Linked DNA regions of Saccharomyces cerevisiae S288C. Changing the gene in region 3 together with the main gene of any one other region gives a genetic interaction. Each region holds a gene or a part of one and is shown on either strand. Other genes may lie near its edges. The genes, in order: KAR5, ILV3, YEH2 and EUC1.

Region 1 (6,434 bases), on a different chromosome or scaffold from region 3:
CACGTCTCAGACAGATCACATTTACAACACAGCATGCTATGACTATATACAAAACATGACTTTTCTTTATCACTAAAAGTAACTGCCAATTTATTGTCGAATCTCGCTATAGTTTGATTTTCACCAGCGGCGCGCGCAAGTATAAGCTAAGAAACAATGAATATAGATAGATAGTGATGAGCGTTGAGAACCGGGAAATGAGTAGAGACGTCCTTCTAAACAAAGATTTATACGGTTGAGACAGATTCATTGAGGAAAAGAGGAGAATGGTTAGCATGATCCATATTGTGGTGTTTTTGCTAGCAATCACAACCATGTTCGAAATACTTCCGCTAATAACCGTCCCCGTGACCAAGTACCTATCGTTATCGTCATTCAGAAACCACTATTATGGCCTGTTTGGCTGGTGTGTACGTGGTCAAAACCAAGAATTGATGTGCACGAAAATGAAGATAGGATATGACAGTACAGATGTCGACTCCTCCGGGCACGTTTTGACCCTGCCATCGAACTCAAAAGTGGTCGTCTCCAATTTATTAGTGGTTCACCCGATTTCACTGGCATTCACAGGAACGCTATTAATTTTAGCAGTGATTATCATGGTAACTCCACTAGGGGACTCACCTGAGATGTTATTGTTCACGGCCCTTTTTTCGCTGCCAACGTTCATGCTATGTCTTTTATGTTTTTTGGTAGATATTCTTCTGTTCATCTCCAAACTGGACTGGCCCGGCTGGCTAATGCTAGCCGCTACTATTAGCGTAGCACTTTGTTGTTCCATGCTGTGGGTCATGAGAAGAGTTGTGTCAGTCAAAAAATATGAATCGCAACAGTCAATTGCGCATGCGTGCTCAATGGAACAGTACTCAATTTCCGACATTTACCAGAGTAAACAGAACGGCAATAGCTCAGAATATGAAGTGGCTCCAACACATACAGATAGTCTGATTGCTCCAGAAGTGACATATAGAGGGTTCATTGAATAAGTAACATCATGTGTCATTTTGCACGTTACATCGGTTTGCCAATCGGCTTCCAAATATTTGTACATTTTTTTCTTCCTCCATCACTATCTGTTAAGGGTCTTAGAAAATGATTACTACAGTGCAAGAAATCAGCAAATGGAGAAACCTGTGCTTCATTAGGATGCAATCTCGCAAATGGTACCCAGTACTTAAAAAGACTCCTTTAGTAGCGGACGGTCGAAAGATCATTAAACATGCCGATAAAGTTCCTCATCCGGAAGAAATAATTCACCCATTTTACCAACCAACAGCAATAGAACAATTCACGGCATGCGCTACGGAATACAATCCTAGCCTGCTTGATGGCAAAAAAATTGCTCCATCACTGATAAAACACCCGGTGAGCCTAAAAACCATACTAGTTGATAGCAAATTAAAGTTTGATGATATTAGGGGAGTGAATAAATGGTTGATGGAATTCGTTGCAAGACGACAACATCAAAGAAATATTGTACTTACACCTGCGAGCAAAAGCGTTAGATCTTTTCACGTTCTGCATTTGTCTTCAACCGATATTGCCAAATTAAGAGGTCTTGAAAATATATTATCAGAGATTGAAAACACGAATGATTTGCAATCCAGGGTCGAGTCCGTAAATAATGAACTACAGAATATTTTTGACCGCGACAGTAAACAGACAAGATTATTTTGCGAGAATATACTGGCTTATTTGATAAAGAATTATGGAAACTCGACTGAAAAACTTATACTACTAATAAATGTTACTGAGATGCAATTATATTCACGTTTAGACCAAATGAAGGCCATGAACATTATTTTATATAATATCCTTTGTAAAGTGGAAGCAAATGAAAACCCACCGTACAGTCCCACATTGGTTACCGCACTAGAAAACCTATTGGCAGCGATCAACAACAGATTTTTTCCAGGGCGTTGCGAAAATTCATTGCACCCAATAGTAATTGAACAACTATTATCATATTTCATTAAAACCGGCAATTTGAATGAAAGCAAAAATTTTTTGGGCCATTTAATAAAAAAGGGTATTTTACCAGAGGCTACTATCATTAATAGATATTTGGAGGCAATTGATGTTCATTTCGATAAAAGCACTAAGATTTTTGATATAAGATCCAAATTTGCATTCATAGCAGATCTTGCACCCATAATAGAAAATTATGGAACAATAGACCTGTTCAAATTTTTGATACCTATGTGCCGGCATTTCGACGAATTGTGTTCTCTGCTAAATATTATTCGAAAATCCAATAACGCAAAACGGGCTGTGGATAGCACCTTACCTATTTTTATCAAAAAAGTATTAACATTTACTAAAGATCCAATGATCAACTCCGGAAATCTATCCACTGTTTTCAATATAGTGAGCCCAATATATGGACAAAACGTGCCCAGCGAATTCGTGGAGAAATTTATACTGTCTTTTGCACTTCAAGGAAATTACACTATGATGGCTCATATGATAGATACATATAAGATCAAACTAAGTCATAAATACCAACTACAAATTATTAGGGCTCTCAAAAATAGTGAGAGAAATCACGCGCTTAAGAATACGGGCGCTGTAGGTTATAATAAGGAATTTAAAAAGTACTTCATCGAGAAATATTTGAATTGCACTGAACGAGAAGCTTTACGCCCATAAATCGTCTATATTAAAAAAAAGGCAGCATAAGAGCAACTCACTGCAAAGGGAATTGCGCATTCCACGCAAATAAACAATGTAAATAAGAATACGTACTGTAACTGTGTCACACTAGCGGGTTGTTTTATCATAATTGTTTGGGATTAATCCTGAACAAATTTTCTATATATAAACACTGGTTCGGAATACCAATGAAGTATACATATTCTGGTTCAACAACTGTTTCTATTCAAAAACTTTGAATGTTTGAAATGCGCTACGTCTATTTGTTTGCAATTTGTATTAAGTTTGTTTCAAGCTCCGAACTAGGAAAAATCAACAATCTGCTGCAAGGAAGATTGATATACACAGATAATTCCGTTGCGACAAATGTATTAGAATCCAAATTTCCATTCTTGAAATCAACATGTGTTAAAGACGCACTAAAATTATTTTTGCCACAATGTATTGCAAATGGACTTGAATCCATTGACGCTGAAACAAGGGTAGAAACGGCCATTAAACTTTCAATATGCGAGTTTCAGGCATCTGGCTTGGGCGAAATACCAGAAAATTGCATGGTTGACGACCTAGGATCAATGATGGATTGTATGTTTGAACTAGAATCATCTTCACAGTGGTGGACAACTTATAGTGGAAATTATCAGCGACTATCGAGTATTTGTTATGAAAATCTTCTTCCTTTTGAAAAAGAACAGATACTGAAACTTTTTCTAAATATCACTGAACTTTATGATTCATTTGGGGATGATGTCGATACTAAGTTAAATCATCTGATGTTTCAAATGGAGCAAGATTCTCAAAATTTTTTGGACGATCTGGCCAGGATGTTCCGCAACTATGACAATGAACTGCGAAATGCGACCGAAAGCAATCGAATAATCTTAGAAAACGACCTCTCATTTTTTAGAAATAAAGTGAATGATGTACTCTATGAAACTTCCGAACAACTAGAGGTCCAAATCATAGAGAAGAACAGTCAACTAATGAATGAAGTTGATACCGTCCATCATATTATGAGCGATCTAGCCGATGAGCTTGCTAAAAATGACATAAAATCTAAGATAAATGACTTGAAGGACGACAGCCTGAATAATTTACAGGACCTAGTGGAAATGTCCAACGACGTAAAAGAATATTACTCTAGAAATAACAAGTTAGTTAATACCGAGTTGGAAAACTTCTCGATGGGTTTAAAAAAACAGTTAGGAGGCATGTCAAAGGATCTTTCTGAATCACAAATGGAAGCTATAGAGCTCTTGCAAGGGTTCAATTCCATCCTTCATGATTCATTGTTACCATCCATGACGGATGAGATAGTACCTGAGATGACGAACTTCAAAAATACCTTACTACAAGAATGGACAGCTATAACATCTACACTAAATGGAGATTTTGCTTTATGGAATGAGGAGATTTTTTCAACTTTTAATGATATTTCAGAGAAACTGAATGGCACAAAAAAAAAATTAGACGACATTGAAATCAGAGTCTCACTTGTCCATAAAAATGTCATGACAATGATGAGGGTATTGGATTTTATGTGGAAAACTAGTAAAATGATTATAAGATGTGGGTACCTTGCAGTCAAGAATAAATACTACTGGTTACTGTGCTCCGTTGTGTGGATTTGGTCAAAATACCGTACGTCTCGAGTAAACGTCAAAATGATTCCTATTAAACGCTATTACCAATGGGCAGCTCTTCTACTTTCAATTTATCTAGGAGCTAAGACTGGCTCATTGATTGATTTTTAACATTACCGATGTAACAATATATGAAAGCCTATATATACATAGATGTATAGGTATATAGCCGCATTCAAAGTCTAGCAAAATAAATATTCTTTAAAAATTCAAGGACACCGGATCATGGTGGCCATAATACGGGCAAGTGAACCTAGAGAAGGTGTCCTACGTCACTATCCAAGTTAATTTGCTTAAGAGAGTTCGAGTGCAGCACCTACAGCTTTATCATTGAAGACGAAGCAAAAAGATCTTGAGATTCTATATCATGGGCACAGGTAGTATTCATTAGGTAGTAGTAACGTATTAAACAAGGCCATACTATATTTATAACTCATGTTCAAATACAACCGCTCACTCTGTAGCAGCGCTTTGATAGCAAAGTCTCAGATTCGTTTTTATAGATTGAAGCGGGCGCCATTGAATTATGCCTCCCATATACCTGAAGTTCTTAATAAGACCATCATAGGGCCAGACGAACCAGAAAAATGTCTCATTTTGAAAGGAAAAACATCAGAGGAAATCGAAAATAATCTTCTCAGTAATAAGAAATTTCAGGAGATCAATCCTCTTGATACTATCCAGGAAACGTTCATTCAATATCTGAAATTTTGTAATGAAACTAACTTTAAAAGAAGTAACAAGAATTTAAACAGATTAAAAAAAACCTTAGAAAGCAAGGACTCTAATAGCACCGTAAAAATTAATGCAGTTTTCAATTATTTGCTCGAAGAGTGTGATTTAGAAATCAAAAGATTGAACACGACCGGCCAAACCCAGGTATACAATGAAGAGAAAGGAAATGAAGATGACTTAGAGCAATCCATAATGAACGATATTTTCCGATCAGCACAAGAACAATTTGAAGATCAAGAGGGCCATATACCGTTAAGGAGTACATCATTTTTACTGGAGATTTTGAAAAGTTTTAATGAACGGTTTAATGGCATAATCAAACCGAAAGAGTCAATAACAGAAATGGTCACATTCAGCCAACTTGCTCAAGCTTTTGAAGTTGTTAAATTGATACCAGTGCAAGAAATGAAGGAGAAAGGGATTTACTTGGTCGGAAATTTACTTTATGGCACAGGGAAAGTTCGTTTAGATCCTATAAATGAGTCATTCTATATTGAATCCCTACTAGTTTTTGGAAACTATAAGGCTGCATACAGTTTATTTATTACCAATAAAGACAAAGTAAACGAGCGCTGGTGGAATGAACTAGGATTAATGATCACATTAAGGTCTAACCACTTGAGAAACTTCAGGAAACTTTTAGCCGAGACAGATGCAAAGTACTCAACAAAGTATTCTTATTTGAGCCCAAGAGTTACCAAATTGAGCATACGAAAATATTTGTCGATTGGCAATGTTACTGAAGCTAATATACTGACTGATCGATTTATTAAGTTAGTGGAAGAAGTTGGAATAATCAGAATGAAAGATGAGCAGGAGGAACTTCCCACGGGAGTTAAAAATTTTCAGAATGAGAAACATGCAACTGAGTTCTTAAATGAACTAGAAATACCATCGGATCATGATTATATCAGCATTGTTGATTTCCATCTTTATAAGAGAAATATTCCCATGGCGGCTCAACTTATCAGCAAGTACATGGAAATACCTGGAACGACACAAGAAGATGCCGCATTTCTACTTGTTAAAACCAAGCTAAATATGTTGAAAGATTTTGAAAAGCTACGAAACATTTTTGCTCAAAATAAAGATTATGTAGTGCCTGAGAATAATGTGAAAATGTTGCAAGAGGCATTTGAGAGCGTTATTACTAAGTATAACACTAATTCTCCAATATACAATGAATTGCTGTTTGAGAATGTTTCGGCCTTAACAAAAAGTATTGTATTAACTGATTTTCTGGAAGAGTTCATTACTAAACAGGCTTCTGGACAGTGGATGGAATTAAACAGTGTGTCACGTTCCAGAAAGTTTAATGGCTTGTTGAACATACTTCTCGGTACAGGTGAAGAAGAAAAAGCATATAATATCTTAAAAAAACTAGAAGAAGCCTCAAAGAAATCA
Region 2 (7,095 bases), on a different chromosome or scaffold from region 3:
CCGTTCCTTCTCTGAAACCTTCGTAGTAGGACAATAAATATAGTCCCCATTGCCTATTCAAATTATTTGCAACCGAAAAACTGCAAAATTTGTTGTTGACCATAGGCGTACAAAACACAACTCAATCCAGCCGTAAGTAAGTATAGTTATGACTTCATCTCTAGATGATATAGAACCAACAGCATATAATAATATGGAAGCGGACGAGGAATATTGCAGACGCAACGATATACATGACCTTTCCAGCGTGGTCGGTGATGCTGTCTCACAAGGTGTGCCAGACATGGATGGTCAAACAACGGATTCTTCGAAGGACCCTGAGCCAAATTCCGAGGATAAGAAAGCGTTTCCTCCTTCGAGTGGCTCATTTTTTTCTCCTAATCTACAGGGTCAAAGGAAGAAAGTTCTTTTAAAGTTTGTTTTCACAAATTGCTTACTGGCCATAATTTGCTTTACAATGTTTGTGTTGTTCTGGGGGGCTCTTTACGACACCAGCAAGTATCTACACAAAGTTAAGCTTCTGGTTGTTATCCAGGAACCCCCTGTGGTAATTTTGGATAATAACAGTTCCATGGTAGTGCCCTCCATATCGTATGCTTTGCCTACTTTTATCAATAAAATACCATGTGATTGGGATATTTATAACAGTCCTACCTTCCAGGCCAAGTTCGACGTAAATACGCCACAGCAAGTCAATGACAAGGTTGTCGATTTGGTTTACGACGAAAAATACTGGTTTGCCATTAATATCAAGCCAAACGCCACGGAGACTCTATTTGAATCACTAATCAACGATACCGCACCACTATTCAATTCTACGCTGTTTAATCAGGTGGTATATGAAACTGGTAGAGACCCGACAAACCTAAAATCAACGATTTTACCGGTTGCTCAGACCATTGAAGAGTACTACCATACATTCTACACACTAAATTATCTGCCGCCGTTATTGACAAACATAACCCAGGTATATCGTTATGCACTAACTAACAATGCAAGGTATATCGCTGCAGCAGGTAAATATAACTACGAATACTATGACCACAGACCATTCACAGACCGTATTCTACTGGCACCCACACAAATCGGTGTTGTTTACTGTTTACTGCTAACTTTTTTCCAATTTCTATTGTACGGCCCATTACACGTAGAAATGGCAAAAGTGCTAAGACCAGCCAACGGTTTAATTTACCGTATCGCTATGTCATGGTTCACCTTTTTCTTTGCGTCTTTGTTCTTCTGCACAACAACCGCCATCTTTCAAGTCGATTTTACCAAGTCCTTTGGTAGAGGTGGCTTCGTCGTATATTGGATGTCTACGTGGCTCTTCATGCTTGCTGCGGGAGGAGCTAACGAAAATGCGGTTATGCTTGTTATTACGTTAGGACCCCAGTATCTCGGGTTCTGGATCCTATCATTTGTCATTCTCAATATTGCACCTTCTTTCTTCCCATTAGCGCTAAACAATAATGTTTATAGATATGGGTACATGATGCCCGTTCACAACGTCATCGATATCTACAGGGTTATTTTTTTTGACGTGACAAGACGCAAGATGGGTCGGAATTATGGTATTTTAGTCGCACTCATTGCCTTGAATACGGCACTGTTACCATTTGTTGGCAAGTATGCTAGTAGAAAACTAAAACAGAAGGCTTTAGTGGCAGCAAAGCAGAGTTAATTTCGTAGATTATAATTAAGGCGACTTTTCAAATAAAAAAATACTGATCGTTGTTTTTTTTTAAATAAATGTTTATCCATTCAATGGACTATAATAAATATTTATATATATATATATATGAAAAGATTGCGAACAAAAAAGATGATGGAAAAGGAGAATCTCTATATATATATTCATCGATTGGGGCCTATAATGCATCAAGCATCTAAAACACAACCGTTGGAAGCGTTGGAAACCAACTTAGCATACTTGGATAGAGTACCTCTTGTGTAACGAGGTGGAGGTGCAACCCAACTTTGTTTACGTTGAGCCATTTCCTTATCAGAGACTAATAGGTCAATCTTGTTATTATCAGCATCAATGATAATCTCATCGCCGTCTCTGACCAACCCGATAGGACCACCTTCAGCGGCTTCGGGAACAATGTGGCCGATTAAGAACCCGTGAGAACCACCAGAGAATCTACCATCAGTCAACAATGCAACATCTTTACCCAAACCGTAACCCATCAGAGCAGAGGAAGGCTTTAGCATTTCAGGCATACCTGGTGCACCTCTTGGACCTTCATATCTGATAACAACAACGGTTTTTTCACCCTTCTTGATTTCACCTCTTTCCAAGGCTTCAATAAAGGCACCTTCCTCTTCGAACACACGTGCTCTACCCTTGAAGTAAGTACCTTCCTTACCGGTAATTTTACCCACAGCTCCACCTGGTGCCAATGAACCGTACAGAATTTGCAAGTGACCGTTGGCCTTGATTGGGTGGGAGAGTGGCTTAATAATCTCTTGTCCTTCAGGTAGGCTTGGTGCTTTCTTTGCACGTTCTGCCAAAGTGTCACCGGTAACAGTCATTGTGTTACCGTGCAACATGTTGTTTTCATATAGATACTTAATCACAGATTGGGTACCACCAACGTTAATCAAATCGGCCATGACGTATTTACCAGAAGGTTTGAAGTCACCGATCAATGGTGTAGTATCACTGATTCTTTGGAAATCATCTGGTGACAACTTGACACCCGCAGAGTGAGCAACAGCCACCAAATGCAAAACAGCATTAGTGGACCCACCGGTTGCAACGACATAAGTAATGGCGTTTTCAAAAGCCTCTTTTGTGAGGATATCACGAGGTAAAATACCCAATTCCATTGTCTTCTTGATGTATTCACCAATGTTGTCACACTCAGCTAACTTCTCCTTGGAAACGGCTGGGAAGGAAGAGGAGTTTGGAATGGTCAAACCTAGCACTTCAGCGGCAGAAGCCATTGTGTTGGCAGTATACATACCACCACAAGAACCAGGACCTGGGCATGCATGTTCCACAACATCTTCTCTTTCTTCTTCAGTGAATTGCTTGGAAATATATTCACCGTAGGATTGGAACGCAGAGACGATATCGATGTTTTTAGAGATCTTCGAAGAACCACATGTTGGATGACCGGGCAAGATAGTACCACCATATACCATGATGGAAGGTCTGTTATGTCTACCCATGGCCATCATGACACCGGGCATGTTTTTGTCACATGATGGGATGGCGATGTTAGCATCGTAGTGTTGTGCCATCATGATGGTTTCAAAGGAGTCTGCAATGATTTCTCTACTTTGTAACGAGTATCTCATACCTTTAGTACCCATAGAGATACCGTCTGAAACACCGATGGTGTTGAACTGCATAGCTTTCAAACCCGCTTTTTCAATGGATTGAGAACATCTGTTATTCAAGTCCAATAGATGCATGTTACATGGGTTACCGGACCACCAACAGGAACCAACCCCGACTTGAGGCTTCTTGAAATCTTCCTTCTTGAAACCGGTGGCATAAAGCATGGCCTGGGACGCACCTTGGCCCTTAGGTTCAGTGATGATATACGAGTACTTGTTGAGCTTCTTTGCAACGCATCTCGTTGTAGAGAATTGTCTAGATGTAGCAACTTTCGTTAACAAGCCCATCTCTACTTTTTTCTTGGCTGTTTACAAAAAAATACAAGAATCCGTTACTAAAGATTACAGGCGCTACAATGCATAATAAAACTTCAGTCTCTTCTTTTGTTACATTATATAATATACTACTATATTACTGAGTCATCTGGAGAGGAAAAGAGAAAATTTTTTTTCAGGCCCGGTTCCGCTCGCAGCGAAGAACAGCGCCATTTAACTATGTGACTAGTTAATTTTTTTTCTTTTCATGGGTTCAGCGAGGACGGAATGGATACAAGAGGGAATAAGAACATAAAAAGGTGAGGTGGAGAAGCAAATGCCAACCTAACCTACCCGCTTGATCACATGAACACCGCTTCCTGATTCAACGATATCGCTTACCTCGCCGACCTTGAGCTGGAAGGCAGCGTCTTCAAAGCTAGGCTGCATCTCGCCTCTCCCGAACCAGCCGAGGTCGCCGCCTCGCTTGTATGAAGAGCAATCTGATCTCTCTTTAGCCAGGGCCTCGAAGGAGTTCGTCTTAGAGTCGTCATCCAACCTCGTGATTAAGGTTTTCAGTTCGTCCGTAGCGTCTTGCTTGGATATCGTAATGTTCTCGGATCTATGCGATGCGGGTCTTCTTGAATCCTTGTGCTTGATGAGAATGTGCAGGCATCTTACACGCACTGGATGGTCTCTTAAGTGCTTGTGTAGCTGGTCCTTGTTGGTGCCCTCAGGCTCCTCCCATTGCGAGTGCTTCGTCTCTGGATTGAAAAAATACTCTCTTTTCTTGGACTTACTATACCTGACGGTCCACGGGGTTGGCAGCCCGGTCCTCGATGCTACGTCAGATGGCATTGGTGCGTCGTTGTGGTGCCGTAGTCGGTTATGCGTGGGAATAAGTACCACAATGATCATTCAGGTCCTTTTTCTACTTAGATCGAAGGGAAAAAGGTATGATACCCGCTCGTGAAAGGTGATGTAATAATAAATAGGATATTATTATATAATATAAGAATATATATGTATGTGTTTATACGTGGGAGGGAATTGTCCTCAGAACTTGGCTCGAATGTCTCGTTCTGACCCGTAGACAACGTAGCCCTCCTGAGAGACGCTTGCCATGATGCGTCCCGACTGTGTGTCGAAATACTTGCCCTGTACGAGGTGCTTGTCCCAGTGGGACCTGGGATTCGAAATCTTAAGATAGATCCAATTGTTCACATGAGGCAACTGGTGAAAGTAAATCGTGTGGTCGAGCGAGACACTGAAACTGTGGCAGTACAAAGGCAGGTTGTGGAAGTACGGGATCGTGAGTAGGAGGTAGGAATCGGACAGATACGCAAAGGCCACGTAGTTGTAGCGAGCGTCGTTCTCAGGAGTAATGCTCTTCGGGATCCTGTACGGATGATGCTTGTGTAAAGAAGACTCGTCGCCCGCGTGCTCCACGGTAGTGATGGGAGGTCTCACTTTGACGAAATAATCCAGCTCGTCGGTGTGTCTTGCCGAGTAGAACATGTCCTTGGGGAATTGGTACTCCATGACTCCGTATTGAAACGCATCCACATACTTGCTCATCGAGGTTGCGTCTTGGAACCTGTCGGACAATGAGGCATACCTGCTCAATTTCTGTGGGTCCAGAACTTCTTTCTGGAAAAGCGAAGTGGCCTCTTCATAACGATGAGGGTCTGGCTGCTTACCTTGCAGGCCTGGAATCGTCTCCCAGTGCTGCAAGGAGTCGTGCTCCTTGGACCGTTGCACGGCAAATAAGATCATCGACGTAAATATCAACTTGTCGTGCTGATAAGCACTAACCTGCTTATGGATGAAATTTCTACCGTTTCTCAGATTCTGCACATGGTACGTGATCTTGGTCCGCGGATCACCACCCTTGATGAAATACGAATGTAGCGATGTGGGGAAGAAGTTCAATGGCACAGTATGCAATGACGCCAGCAGCGATTGTGATACCAGCGTTCCACCAAAAGTGCCCTTAGACCCTACGGGCGCGGCAGGCAGATACTTTGTGACAAAACTGGTAGGCGAAAGAGGAACCAGTTCCAATATTTTCTCTAGGTTGGACATGGCCATTTTGGAAGCACTCATTTTTATGCAATCTTGTCTTATCTTGTCTTGCTCATGGTGGATACTGAATTGAAACCCTTTTCTGGTTTATATCCAACTGGCGTGGTTTTTCATTGTAGGATGAGGCTCGGTGTTTATGCCGTCTCTTCCGAGGATGCAATCAAAGGCTCTCTCCTTTGTTGGGGTAGTAGCAAGTCCAATAAGCAACGCTTGTTTGTTGATTGGGCCGATTTACATAGCCTATACACTGCTGTTACATATGCCTGTGTAGAATGAAAAAGCAGGACGCCCGTTTCACAGCTCAGATTCCAGAGTGTCGGGTCTTAGTTCCTCCCAGGGAATAATGGTCCTGGCCGCACGCTTCAGCCGATGGCTAGCGTCATCATTGTCTTCGCTATTGTGGTTTTGGCTGGTGGATAGGGTTGGGGAGCTGGATCTTCTGCGTTTCATGGACCTTGTGACCATCATTCTTGGTGGCGGCACGGACTTCTTACGCTGCTTATCGTGGGCTTCGTCCATATCGTGCAGGAGTGTGGTGCCATTCAGAGACACATCCGGGCGATCGTAGGCGTGATCTGCCTTTTCTCGAAACGCCATCTCTAGAGCAGTCTGGCGGGTTTGTAGACTGTGCATGTCTTTGGATAGAGACAGGAGCACTTTATGCACGTCCTCCAGTTGGCTGCCGACGTTGAAGAGCATCTCCTGGGTGCACCTCATCGACTTTTCCGTCTCATGCTGCTTGTTAGTTACGTGTCGCGTTATCTTGGAATTATACCTGCTTATTTCTTCGACTAATACCTGCCTGTAGCTGGAATCCGACTTTGTCTTCTTCTCGTCGCCTTTCGATAACATTGCTGTTGACACTTTGTCCAGTTGGTTTTCAATCTGGGAAGCCAAATCCTTTATTAAGGTTTTCACGTTTCCTATACTACAGTTGTTAGTAAATGTGTTTTGGAAGAAAATGAATAAAAAACTTGAGGGTATGCACTGTGTTGGTACGAACCGTTCGTAGCAGCATCTTGTTCCAGTAGCTGGTTAAACTTGTTTAGCGATTTACATAATGTCTTAGAATTTTCATTTAAAACTTTAATTAGCTTGTCAGAGTTTTCCCTCAGCTCCATACTCTCCAATTCCAGTTTACCTGCCCATTCCAGTATCTGCTTGTCCGATTCCTCTAAAGCGCCTGCATTCGCTACTTTCCCACTGTGGGAGAATATAGATCTGAACGGTGATGATGTTTCTGTAATCATCAACGAGTGTTCAGAATTAGCCTCTGAAACATCTGTAGATATCTCGTCTGTTCTACCTCTAGCGACCATTTTACTAAATGTTTCTACACGTCTGCAGTATCCTTGTTTTGCTTGTTTTCCTTCTTTCTGTTCTTGTTGATTTTCCCTTTAAGTCCTG
Region 3 (6,628 bases):
TTTATAAAAAGAACATTATAACCTACAAAAAAGATACTTAAACCCTGAAGTTAATAGGTTTGGACCCTCTTTTTTTTTTTTTGCTTTTTTTTAGAAAACCTCAGTATTCACAGTCTAAGGAACAGATAAAGAGAAGCTTTATGAAAGCAGTCCACAGTGCCACGAACTTTGACATATATAATTGACTTGTGGGGGCTACCGACTGGCTTATATTTCTAAAATTTAGAGATTTGATTATCTTTTTCGCAGCGCGTAAAAGAAACCCACGAAGCATCGCTTAATTTACACATATTCTTCGTTCTCCCCTTTTGGAGAGGATTTAAGCTAAGATATATCTTTCTTCGAGCGCAGTGCTGCTTTTGAGTTCTTTCGTTTTAATTTTCCACTTATTTGGCAATAAAAACTGAGTGAAGAGTGCTTCTCTGTCTGTTTTAGGGAGCTTTTTCAGATCATCATCAGATGGGATTTATAGCAAATATACTGTGCTGTTCTTCAGATACTTCCAAAACACATCGTCAACGCCAACCACCAGAAACTAATCACAACCGCAACCGCAACCGTAAGCACAGTTCAAACAAAGCTCAAACTCAGGGTCGTAAGCAGAAGGCTACTCCAAACGGCGACAAGATGCAATATTCCACACCGGAGATCCTTTTGTCTAGTTCCGATTCAGGCAGCAATGCGGGTTCCAAGACAATGCAGGAGAATGGGAATAGCGGCAATGGAAAACTAGCACCTTTATCAAGAGATCACTCCAACAACTCGTACGATGAGGAGAAAGAATATGAAGATTATAATGAAGGAGACGTAGAAATGACGGAGGTTAACAATGCCGGAGAAGAAGAAGAAGAAGATGACGAAGCAAAAGAAAAGCAAGACCATGTCGTTCATGAATATAACGTTGACGCAGATAGAAATTCCAGTATTAATGACGAGGCGCCACCACAACAGGGTCTGTATCAGGTGGGTCAAGAAGATATGAATCCACAATATGTCGCCAGCAGTCCTGATAATGATTTAAACTTGATACCTACAACGGAGGAGGACTTCTCTGACCTGACGCATTTGCAACCAGACCAGTACCATGCCCCCGGATACGACACTCTGCTACCACCCAAGTTGCAAGAATTTCAACAGAAAAAATGTCTGATATTGGATCTAGACGAAACTTTGGTACATTCTTCCTTTAAATATATGCATTCAGCTGATTTCGTTTTGCCCGTCGAAATCGATGATCAAGTTCACAATGTCTATGTTATTAAGAGGCCAGGCGTCGATGAGTTCTTGAACAGGGTGAGTCAACTATACGAAGTTGTTGTGTTCACGGCAAGTGTTTCGAGGTATGCAAACCCCCTTTTAGATACGTTGGACCCTAATGGAACCATCCATCATCGATTATTCAGAGAAGCTTGTTATAACTACGAAGGTAACTACATCAAGAACTTATCGCAGATCGGAAGACCATTGTCCGAAACAATCATCTTAGATAATTCGCCGGCCTCTTACATCTTTCATCCGCAACATGCTGTTCCGATATCTTCTTGGTTCTCTGATACTCATGATAATGAGTTACTAGATATTATCCCACTTTTGGAGGACCTTTCATCAGGAAACGTGTTGGATGTGGGGAGCGTGTTGGATGTGACGATATAGATTTCTCAGTAACATAAAAAGCAGGCTCTTTTTATTACCCCCCCCTTCGGTTATATGTTTGGACGAACTCATGTTTCTCTTTTTATACAGAAGACTTCACCGGATATTTATAAACTTAATGAATTAATTTGCTTATTACATGTATCAATTGTACTTTACGTGTAACATCTACAGATACATATATCCGTATATACTAGCATATATATAAATATATACTCTATACATATATCTATTTATTATGCTTTTCTTTCCTCTTTTTATGGCATATTATATTTTACAAAGAAACCACAAAGAAAAAACTTTTACCTCACCTTGCATTAGGAAACCTCAAATTTTCTATCATTGGCTTACCAATTCTATCTATAACATCATGCGCCCATAAAACGTCCAGATGGGAATACTCATCAATATACCAGATTTTGTACACTGCATTTGCTTCATGATTAATGAAGTGATTAATTAATCGTTCACCATCTACTAATCTATCTTGCTTTGGAATAAACATTATAATGTGTGGAAATTCTTCACTATTTTGTCTTTTCGGATTTAAGTGTAGTTTGTTGTTATCCAAATTATTGCCACTGTCATCATCATTCTTGGCAATAGGAAACCATGTCTTTTTATCTGGAAAAATTTTCTCTGCACCCTTCTTAAAACTTAGCTTATTAGGAAGAGGTGACAACCACCATTGCATTAGTTTGACGGAAATATGGACTGGTGAAAATAAGAAATTTCGGTCCCTTAAAACTCTATCCCATAAGACATCGTTCCAATCAAATAGGTAGTTAAACATGATGTATGAGAGGAACGAAAAAATCTTGGTCCCAACCATTAGTTTTCTCATTGTCATCATAAGAGGTATAAACGATCTTCTACCAAAGTACCACGGAGAATCAATACCTTTTGCCATTAGCCTCACAAATGCTTTTTCATCCAATAAAGGTCCAGGGTACACTGCAGGTGCCAAAGCAACAAAGTTTTCCAGCTTATCGACTAATTTAAAATCACTTGCGTATAGTTTCTCACCGTTGACAAGCCCCATAAACCCTTGTGTTGTACCTTGTGAATGCGCCACGAGCGATAGTTTAGCATATCCGGTACTATCAAGTACATAATTTATAAGTGCTTTTAAATCGTATTGAACCATCTGGTGCATATCCCAATCCCATTTTTTGGAATGATCATTACCTAATTTTTTCATGTTCCACTTGGCATTTAAGCCACATCTGTTATTCCCCAACCAAACATCAAATCCAGATTCATAAAGGAAGTATGCCAGAGATTTTCTACCTGAAGATGCGAAGGCCCCGCAACTTTGCAAAAGACCGTGTAATAGCAAAATGGGTTCACGTTTCACTTCCTCTACGCCATCGTTTAACCTGGACTTGAAGTGCCACAAATCAATGATAAAACCGTCGTCTGTCTCCACCTCAAATTCTTCAATATCAATACCATACTCTTTATAATAGTACTTTAAGTCAGGTACCAGCTTGGTATCCTCCGCAAGCGCAATGTTTTGGAAGGGATTCTCTGCAGCATATGGGGCTTGGTTCACATTCGTTTCCATTTTAATATTAGCATTTCCATCACCGTTCTCTGATAAAGAGGCATTACTAGTCATGGACAGCTTGCTAGTCACAGTACGGTCATATTCAATATTATTTTCCTGATCCCGCTGTAAATCTAAGGGCGTTGTGGAAGATATTGACAAAGGTCTAGAGTGACGTGCTGGTCGTTTCTTCTTCTTGTCATTTGGCTGGATCTTGGTTCTCGAACTTCTTGTATCTCTTGGATCATTTTTATGTTGGAAATGAACTGTCACGTAATTCTTCCATAGTGACAAAATGAATAACCCCGTCATAAACGAAGTGAGAATTATTGCGCTCACCAACCGCTGAACCTCATCAACCACCTTATTTACCATGCTTATCGTAAAGGTGCCACGGGGATCCCAATGATAGTTGAGTATTTCCCAACAATTTTAATTATACCTTTGATGAGAAACATTTGCGTACTATTTGTGTGAAAAAAAATGAAGAACTTAATGCGCGAATTATTGGGATAACAACGCCAATGGTGAATCAAAATATTAACAATGACAAAAAGAATGGGCTATTTTTGTACAAAATACTGTTGCAAATATGATATCATATGAATTCCAAACTCATCTACCGAAAGGAAAAGATAGCTCATTGAACGCTTCATCCGAAAACAAAGAATTGTATGTACAAGCCACGCACTTTAATAACACAATTCTATTGCAAATCAGACTAAATGGGGAAATGGATTCCACCTATGAGGTATCTTCAAAAGGACTAAACCCAATTCTCGATATCAACGTACCACTGGCAGGAAACCTAGGAAACACGGGTGGCGATTATGACGATGAGGAAGAAGAATTTGTAAGAGACCATTTATCTGATTATCAAGTGGTTACCAAGTTGGGAGATAGTGCCGATCCTAAAGTACCCGTGGTATGCGTACAGATTGCCGAACTATATAGGAGAGTTATTCTACCAGAAGTGAGCGGTACGATGGCCCAAGACAACATGCAATTCAGCTTGCTGATATCCATGAGCAGTAAGATATGGAGAGCAACGAAGGAACAAAGCGCTGACGATAATGATTTTGGCAAATTAGTTTTTGTGTTAAAGTGTATCAAAGATATGTATGCAAAGTGATTCTATATAAATTAGTTATGCGTTGTATTATCTATGACTGCCATATCCAAGACTTGCACAGTTCCCTTTTTATCACATAGGGTCATCAAATCTCTATAATTGACAGGATCGATAAGACCTGTACATGTCCAAGGATCCAATTCCGGCTTCGTTGACTCTCCAGGCGATGAAGCTATCAATTTACTAATCTTCTCAATAAGTTCGGGTTGTCTAGATGGCTCACTTATGGCCACTTTGACTTTCATCTTCGCCCTTACTATTGGAATAATTTGCTTAGAAACCAATAATTTGATAGCCTCTAAAGCTTGCAATTTGGCAGGTTTGTTAATAACAGGGCTGAACTTCAGTTCCTGTAAAGCTTTGTGGATCATTGTGGGCGGATATCTTTTCTTTGACACAGGATTTATACATTTAGCGCTAACTATTGTAAGCATTTCGTTATTAACTTTATTAAGCATTAATTGTCTTTCTTTTTCCGATAATTGAATCTCTCCCTTATGCATGATCTCCTCGATGACATCATCAACATTTGTAGTCCCGAAACACTTTTGTAGATCTTCCTTATTAGCAACCAAGCCTTTCGAAACATTCATGAAAACTTGATGTATCTGCAGCACTTCATCCAGATCTTTTTCAATTCCTTTTCGATAGTCTTGGACCTTATTTTGGTAGCACGCGACTTCAAATCTCTTGCGAGCCTTTTTTAATCTCACTAATGAAACATTAGTTAACTTAATCTGTCCCGACGGTTGATTGATAGGCATTGCGTGTTTTACCTTTTCTTTCTCAGAACTATTTTAGTAAAAATTTTAAAAACTTTTACTACTGCATGAAATCACTTAAGTTCGGCCTAGAAAAATTTTTTCATGAACATTATTATATATACAAGGCACTGAGCAGAACAATACACGCTAAGTTTTGTTCTTTCATGAGGTCATAATAAGTTAAATAACAGTCAATACATAAATGCAAAACTAAAAGTACACAGTTTTATTATTTTCTTTTCGTCGTAATGTAGTTTTTATAATCAGTCAACTTTTTTTTTGCTTTTAGATTTCGTTTGTTCCTTTTGTCTTTGGATCCAAAGTTTCTTGAAAATGTAGCCAAAACAATGCCAGCAGGAATATCGAAAAAGATGGGTATAATATAAGTAAAAAAAAAATTTTAACAATGAAATAATACAGGAGAATTCGTGGTTTACAATTTCTGGTTTTTTTCGAAATTGCTATGTGGCTTCTCCAACAATGTAATTGTAGGCTTTTCTTTCTTTTAAGTCCGTTTATCGTATACAGAAAAAGTGCAGGATGTTGTAAGTAAAGGTAGTCAGTCATACCATCATGACAAAATCCACCTCTTGGCAAACATATCTAAAATAGCTCTATAATGGCCGATGACACCCAACACTACGAAGAAATGCCAAAAAGTGTGCGAACAACCAAAATAGTCAACCCACCATAGAGATTTAAATGATTTGGCATGAGACGGACAGGAACTGCATTTGGAATGGGCTGTTGGCACCTCTCTAAAATGAATTTCCCTTTGCTTTGTGATGATTTCTAAATCAGTAGATAATTCGTAGTTTGTTGGAATGGTCTTATCAACCTGAACGTCAGATCTGAACCGTTCAGGAATGAACGAACCGTAAAATACCACACCAACCAAATACCAAACAACAGATTTGTATGTGACGGGGCTAAATAGCGTTGCAGCATAATGAAGATCAGTCAAAAATATCAAATGTAAAAACGACAATACACCCATAGTAGCCAGCAAAATGAAGAATCTAATTCTTAATGGCCTTGCTTCAGGTCTATCAAAGCGAGGCGACCAATTCATAAACACACCAAATACACCCAGCGCCAGAGAAATACTCATGTAAGTGTACATCGCCCAGTAACATGAATACATGGTAACAAACTCCGTTGTCAATATCGAAGCTGTAATTAAGATCGTAATACCGCTATAGTCGACACACGCAAATTTAGAACGTAGCTTCAAGAAGGACGTTCCGTTGAAAGTATGCCAAAACACGGAGCTTAGCATACATTTCAACGCAGCTGCCAAAAACATGAAAACAATCCATCTAGCCTGTGGTGGAACCTGGGAATTCCGCCAAACTTCAGACTGAGGGAAATCGTAAATTGCCAAGTAGATTATATAAATGGCTCCTAACAAATGAGACCAAATATTTGAAGTTTCATTATGCCAGCCGTACCAGTTAAAGATAGACAACAAAGATTTGGAATGGGTATTGTAAAACCTATAGCCATGGATTATGTATCTGTTTTCCCTCC
Region 4 (4,472 bases), on a different chromosome or scaffold from region 3:
TTTTGAAGGCACAATCTTGGAGCCGTTAGTTGAGTTTATACTTGCAACGGCCTTTTTGTAAGCAGGCTCATGAATCATACGAGTGAAATCTGTTTGTTCATCAAAGCTTGGATAAAATTCATTTAGTACTGATTCACACTCTTTAATGACTTTTGGATAGATAGATTTATGTACTAACAAATAATCTGGTGAAACACAAATCTGGCCAGAATTTCCGAAAGCACCAAAAAAAATCCTTTTCAAAGCAATTTTTATGTTACTTGCTTTGAAATTTTCTGTAATAAAGGTAGGTGATTTACCACCAAGTTCAAGTACACAAGGTGTTAGACTTTTTGCTGCTTTCTCAGCAACTATTGATCCGACACGGGGAGAACCTGTGTAGAATATTAGGTCAAATTTTCCACAATCTAGTAGTCTTGTAGTTTCATCTATAGCTCCCTGAACTACTTGAATCAATCCATCAGGGAAACCAGCTGTGGTTAACAAATTTTCCATAACTACAGCAGTGTGTGGTGTTAGTTCACTTGGCTTCAGAACAATGGTGTTACCTGCAGCAAGAGCTGCTGCCAATGGGGCAAATGCTAAAAGTAGGGGAAAATTGAAAGGAGCAATAATCAAGACACTGCCCCTTGATATTTTCTCCACGATTGTTTTACCAAACATAAATGGAGGAGAAGAATCAGATACTCTCCGAGGTTTGATCAATTTTGGTAAAATCTCAATTAGGTGAAGTATATCGTTCATAAGTTTGGTCGTTTCATTCAGAACCGATTCAATTTTGTTCCGATGAAAGTCCTTGTACATAGCATCGATCAGTTCTTCCTCATGATCTTTGACGGCATAATAGAGTTTTTTCAACTGCAACTGCCTGAATTCTAGATCTTTTTTCCTTGGGTTATTTTCGTGGGACAATTTCAATTGTTTCTCAAAGAAGAAATTTCTTGAGATTTCAACTATTTCATCTATTTTAGACACTGGGGTATAATTCAATATTTTTGAGCCGTCGTTTGACATGTTGGTGATAAATTACTATGGCTATGGTTTTAGAATATTCCTTTTAGATAATCAATATGCCTGAAGTTTTGTTTTTTATATATGGAGTATCCGTTTATCCCTAAAATCCGAAGAATCTCCTCCTAAAACGACAAAAAAAAGGGTAAGCAATCCACCATCTAATTAAATCACTAATATTAGATTGAATTTTCGAACCTATCTAAAAGTGGGATCTTGATGTAAAATTGACTGATAGATAAAAGGCTTGGAGTCGATAGTTGATATATCAGTACACCGGTAATTGTCTATTATATACCCTGTTGGCATGAAATCCATATAGGACGGTATATATTTATATATAAAATGCATGTAAAAATCTTTCATCATGAACTACTCGGAATTTTTGGCTGGAAATTCGTTGTTCCATTTCCTCTAAGTGTCTTGATCATGTTCTGGTGTGCCTGTACTGGAATTTGGTATACTATGTGGCTGCTGTAATGATAATCTAGCTTCTCTCTCTTCTAACAAGAAAATTCTTCTTGGCTTCCCTCTTCTCTTTAGAGTAAGTGAATAGTCTTCGAGTTTGTCCATTTTTTTGGAGAAGTATTCGTATAACTGGGACATTGATAATCGGCAATGATGTCCTTTGAAGGTATTGTTTCCCAATCTTATATTTTCGACAACCTTGATGGCTTGGTTTCTACTTATTTTATTCTCAGGTAGCGACAAACCATATTTGCTTGGATCATCTTTTATATCTATTATTCTTTTTATGATGGTCATTCTTTTAGTGAACAAAGTCCTTTCTTTGGCAGATCGCCTCCAAGTGGACCCATATCTCCTCTCAAGGGAAAGAACTGACGGTTGGCCCGGTAAGCCTTCAAAGTATTCACGGGCCGCATCTGTAACGTTCTGGATTGCACGATTTAGTTTATATGACGTTCCAACGCACCCTCTTCTGTTTCTGATATCATTCTCGTTTCCTGTTCCATCGAGTTGGTTATTACTGTCATCAGCATTGCTAACAGAATCGGGGTTATTTAAAGGTAGGTTCCTGGTGGTAGCGTTCTCATCACTTTCATTACCATCGTATTCCCCATTTTCAAAGTCTGACAGCCCTGGCTCAGGCTTGATACGAGGATCGCCGGCTAATATGCTTGCGTGCATACTATATTCTTGCCAGTTTGTTGATCTTGACTGACTTTGATGAGCTTGCGTACTTGTTGATGGATTTCCAACACGAGCAGCTTCCTGAGGAGTAACATTTTCCCCAGTATGGTCTATAAATCTTATTCTCTCCCCAGTCATAATACCAACTACCTCTTTGAAGACTTCTTTCATTGCGGAAACATCTTCAACATACTTATTGATGTCTTTAAATCCTTTCTCCAACTTCTTTTGATTCTCTAGAAAGAAGAGTTCTTGTTCCTTTTTCATTAGGCTGATTTCTTCCTTCAGATTGGCATTTTGCTCCTCCATTCTGGTTAGTTGTGCTATAAGAAATGCATTGAAATTTGTTTCAGGGGTTTCTTTTATCCTTCCAGGGCCTATTCTGTTGGTCGGTTCTGTTGCCGATGCTGATGTGGATGTAGACACTATGGGAGGTTGAGCAGCGTCTGTCGGTCTGAAAAGAGGATTGATACGGCCTGGGATCATGTACCTATTTAATGCAGCATGTCTTGATACTCCTGTTGGACTTGTGGTTATAGTTCGCTGCCCTAGATCGTGATTCCTGCGTTCAGAATCTCTATCTGAATCATCATCGTCCAACGAGCCGTACCCACCAAAACCTTCTACATAGTTATATTCTCGAGCGGGCATGTTTAATTAATGTGTTGACTCCTGGACTAACTTCTCGATGGCACAAAATGTAGTCTTCTGGCAAAAGACGAAGTTGATTGTTAAATATTTTAAGCTAGCAATGCCCTTTGTACTCTCGTTTGTGTTTGAGTTTCAAGTACGCTTCCTTTTTTTAATTTTTTTACTAATACTAAACTCGTTCTCTTTAGACAATACTGGTTGAAGTAAAGTAAATGCTATATCATCATATGGAATATGATATCCCTGTGATGTTTATATAATTATACATTTGTACTTGATACAAAAGTGTTCTAGTCCTAATTAAGGTTTACTTGGATTTCGAAGGATCTAATATAGCCGACAATAAATCCAATTGTTCTTCCATTTTTTCTGTGTCTTGGCCTAGGGCCTTCTTGTTGACATTGATGGGCAGTAGTCGTGTTCCAACGTTCTCATCCAACAACTGTATCTCCTTGCGTAGCTGTGTGGTTGATTTATCTAGTCGTTCGTAAAACTGTTTGACATGATTTTCGAATTGGGGTTTCACTGATTCATTACCTCTTTTTAGTTCACCAAATATGAACGTGACTTGAGACGCCTCCTGCAACATGGAGCATAACTGGGTCTCTATATCATTTAATGACTTAAGACGTTCTTGTATATATGGTGGCTGCATTGTTTCGTTTTCTTGTTTCGTTTCACTCTTCGTATTGAGAACCTGCATCGTTGTTCATTTGGATTTGATAGCGTCCTTCTAATAAGCGCGCCTCTGGCTTGATGAGAAGATTTGAATCGAATTAGCAGATCTAACGACTGGGTCAAAAAACCGCTAAGATGAGGGCCTGCATACTGTCCAAGTCAGATTTTCGTACTCATTCGATTACTTTCAAAATATAAAAGCCGCCGCAATGAGCGACTTAAATCAAGTTTTTAAAATGTCCAATATACATATATATAAATAAAGTCAAGATTTTTTTATCACTGGATGTTTCAAAGCTTCTCATACGGTGGCTACGTCCTGGTTACCATATTTCTTGTGTTATATATATTATTTATAGGCCCTTCTACAACATTGGTTAGTTCGGGTGTTTTCCTCTATGAATAATTGTTATTTAAAAATTGAGCAGAAAAACTCAGGATTGTTTATAATGTAAATGTTTTGAATAGACCGATAAGGTCACCTGTTAGTAAGTTGATCTAGTGTATTTATTGTATTTTGCTATATCAATGGCCATTGAATTGGGACTTTCCCGTATTACAAAACTACTAGAGCATTTAGGCAATCCGCAAAACTCACTTAGAGTGCTGCACATTGCAGGGACAAATGGTAAAGGTTCAGTATGTACTTACCTATCTTCTGTGTTGCAACAAAAGTCCTACCAAATTGGAAAATTTACCACTCCACACTTGGTGCATGTTACTGATTCCATTACAATCAACAATAAGCCGATTCCGTTAGAGAGATACCAGAATATTAGATTACAACTAGAAGCTTTAAACAAGTCACACTCTTTAAAATGTACGGAATTCGAGCTATTAACATGTACCGCATTCAAATATTTTTATGATGTGCAGTGCCAATGGTGTGTCATAGAAGTAGGCCTTGGCGGAAGACTTGATGCGACCAATGTTATTCCAGGCGCAAATAAGGCATGTTGTGGTATTACTAAAATCAGTTT

Evidence for each region.
Region 1: mutations in YEH2 (region 3) and KAR5 together harm fitness more than expected from each alone (negative genetic interaction), as found in Saccharomyces cerevisiae (one large-scale study listed by BioGRID).
Region 2: mutations in YEH2 (region 3) and ILV3 together harm fitness more than expected from each alone (negative genetic interaction), as found in Saccharomyces cerevisiae (one large-scale study listed by BioGRID).
Region 4: mutations in YEH2 (region 3) and EUC1 together harm fitness more than expected from each alone (negative genetic interaction), as found in Saccharomyces cerevisiae (one large-scale study listed by BioGRID).

Annotation. Positions count from the first base shown.
Region 1 is NC_001145.3:396,811-403,244, forward strand, and holds KAR5 (Kar5p), read left to right. Parts: upstream 1-2,891; coding exon 2,892-4,406; downstream 4,407-6,434. Other genes in the region: RIM9 (Rim9p), read left to right, coding at 267-986; AEP1 (Aep1p), read left to right, coding at 1,093-2,649; SOV1 (Sov1p), read left to right, coding at 4,731-6,434.
Region 2 is NC_001142.9:462,573-469,667, forward strand, and holds ILV3 (dihydroxy-acid dehydratase ILV3), read right to left. Parts: upstream 3,637-7,095; coding exon 1,879-3,636; downstream 1-1,878. Other genes in the region: YJR015W (uncharacterized protein), read left to right, coding at 149-1,681; peptidylprolyl isomerase ESS1, read right to left, coding at 3,949-4,461; TES1 (palmitoyl-CoA hydrolase), read right to left, coding at 4,660-5,709; REC107 (Rec107p), read right to left, coding at 5,983-6,611, 6,692-7,007. UniProt on the Saccharomyces cerevisiae protein: Dihydroxyacid dehydratase that catalyzes the third step in the common pathway leading to biosynthesis of branched-chain amino acids.
Region 3 is NC_001144.5:179,829-186,456, forward strand, and holds YEH2 (sterol esterase), read right to left. Parts: upstream 3,578-6,628; coding exon 1,961-3,577; downstream 1-1,960. Other genes in the region: PSR2 (putative phosphatase), read left to right, coding at 460-1,653; IRC25 (Irc25p), read left to right, coding at 3,795-4,334; guanine nucleotide exchange factor SDO1, read right to left, coding at 4,346-5,098; IZH3 (Izh3p), read right to left, coding at 5,670-6,628. UniProt on the Saccharomyces cerevisiae protein: Mediates the hydrolysis of steryl esters. Required for mobilization of steryl ester, thereby playing a central role in lipid metabolism.
Region 4 is NC_001145.3:490,979-495,450, forward strand, and holds EUC1 (Euc1p), read right to left. Parts: upstream 2,815-4,472; coding exon 1,426-2,814; downstream 1-1,425. Other genes in the region: HFD1 (hexadecenal dehydrogenase), read right to left, coding at 1-1,014; MED11 (Med11p), read right to left, coding at 3,122-3,517; FOL3 (dihydrofolate synthase), read left to right, coding at 4,021-4,472. UniProt on the Saccharomyces cerevisiae protein: Transcription factor-like protein that binds to specific DNA motifs called ub-HS-motif associated with several locations where proteins other than histone H2B are ubiquitinated (ub-hotspots).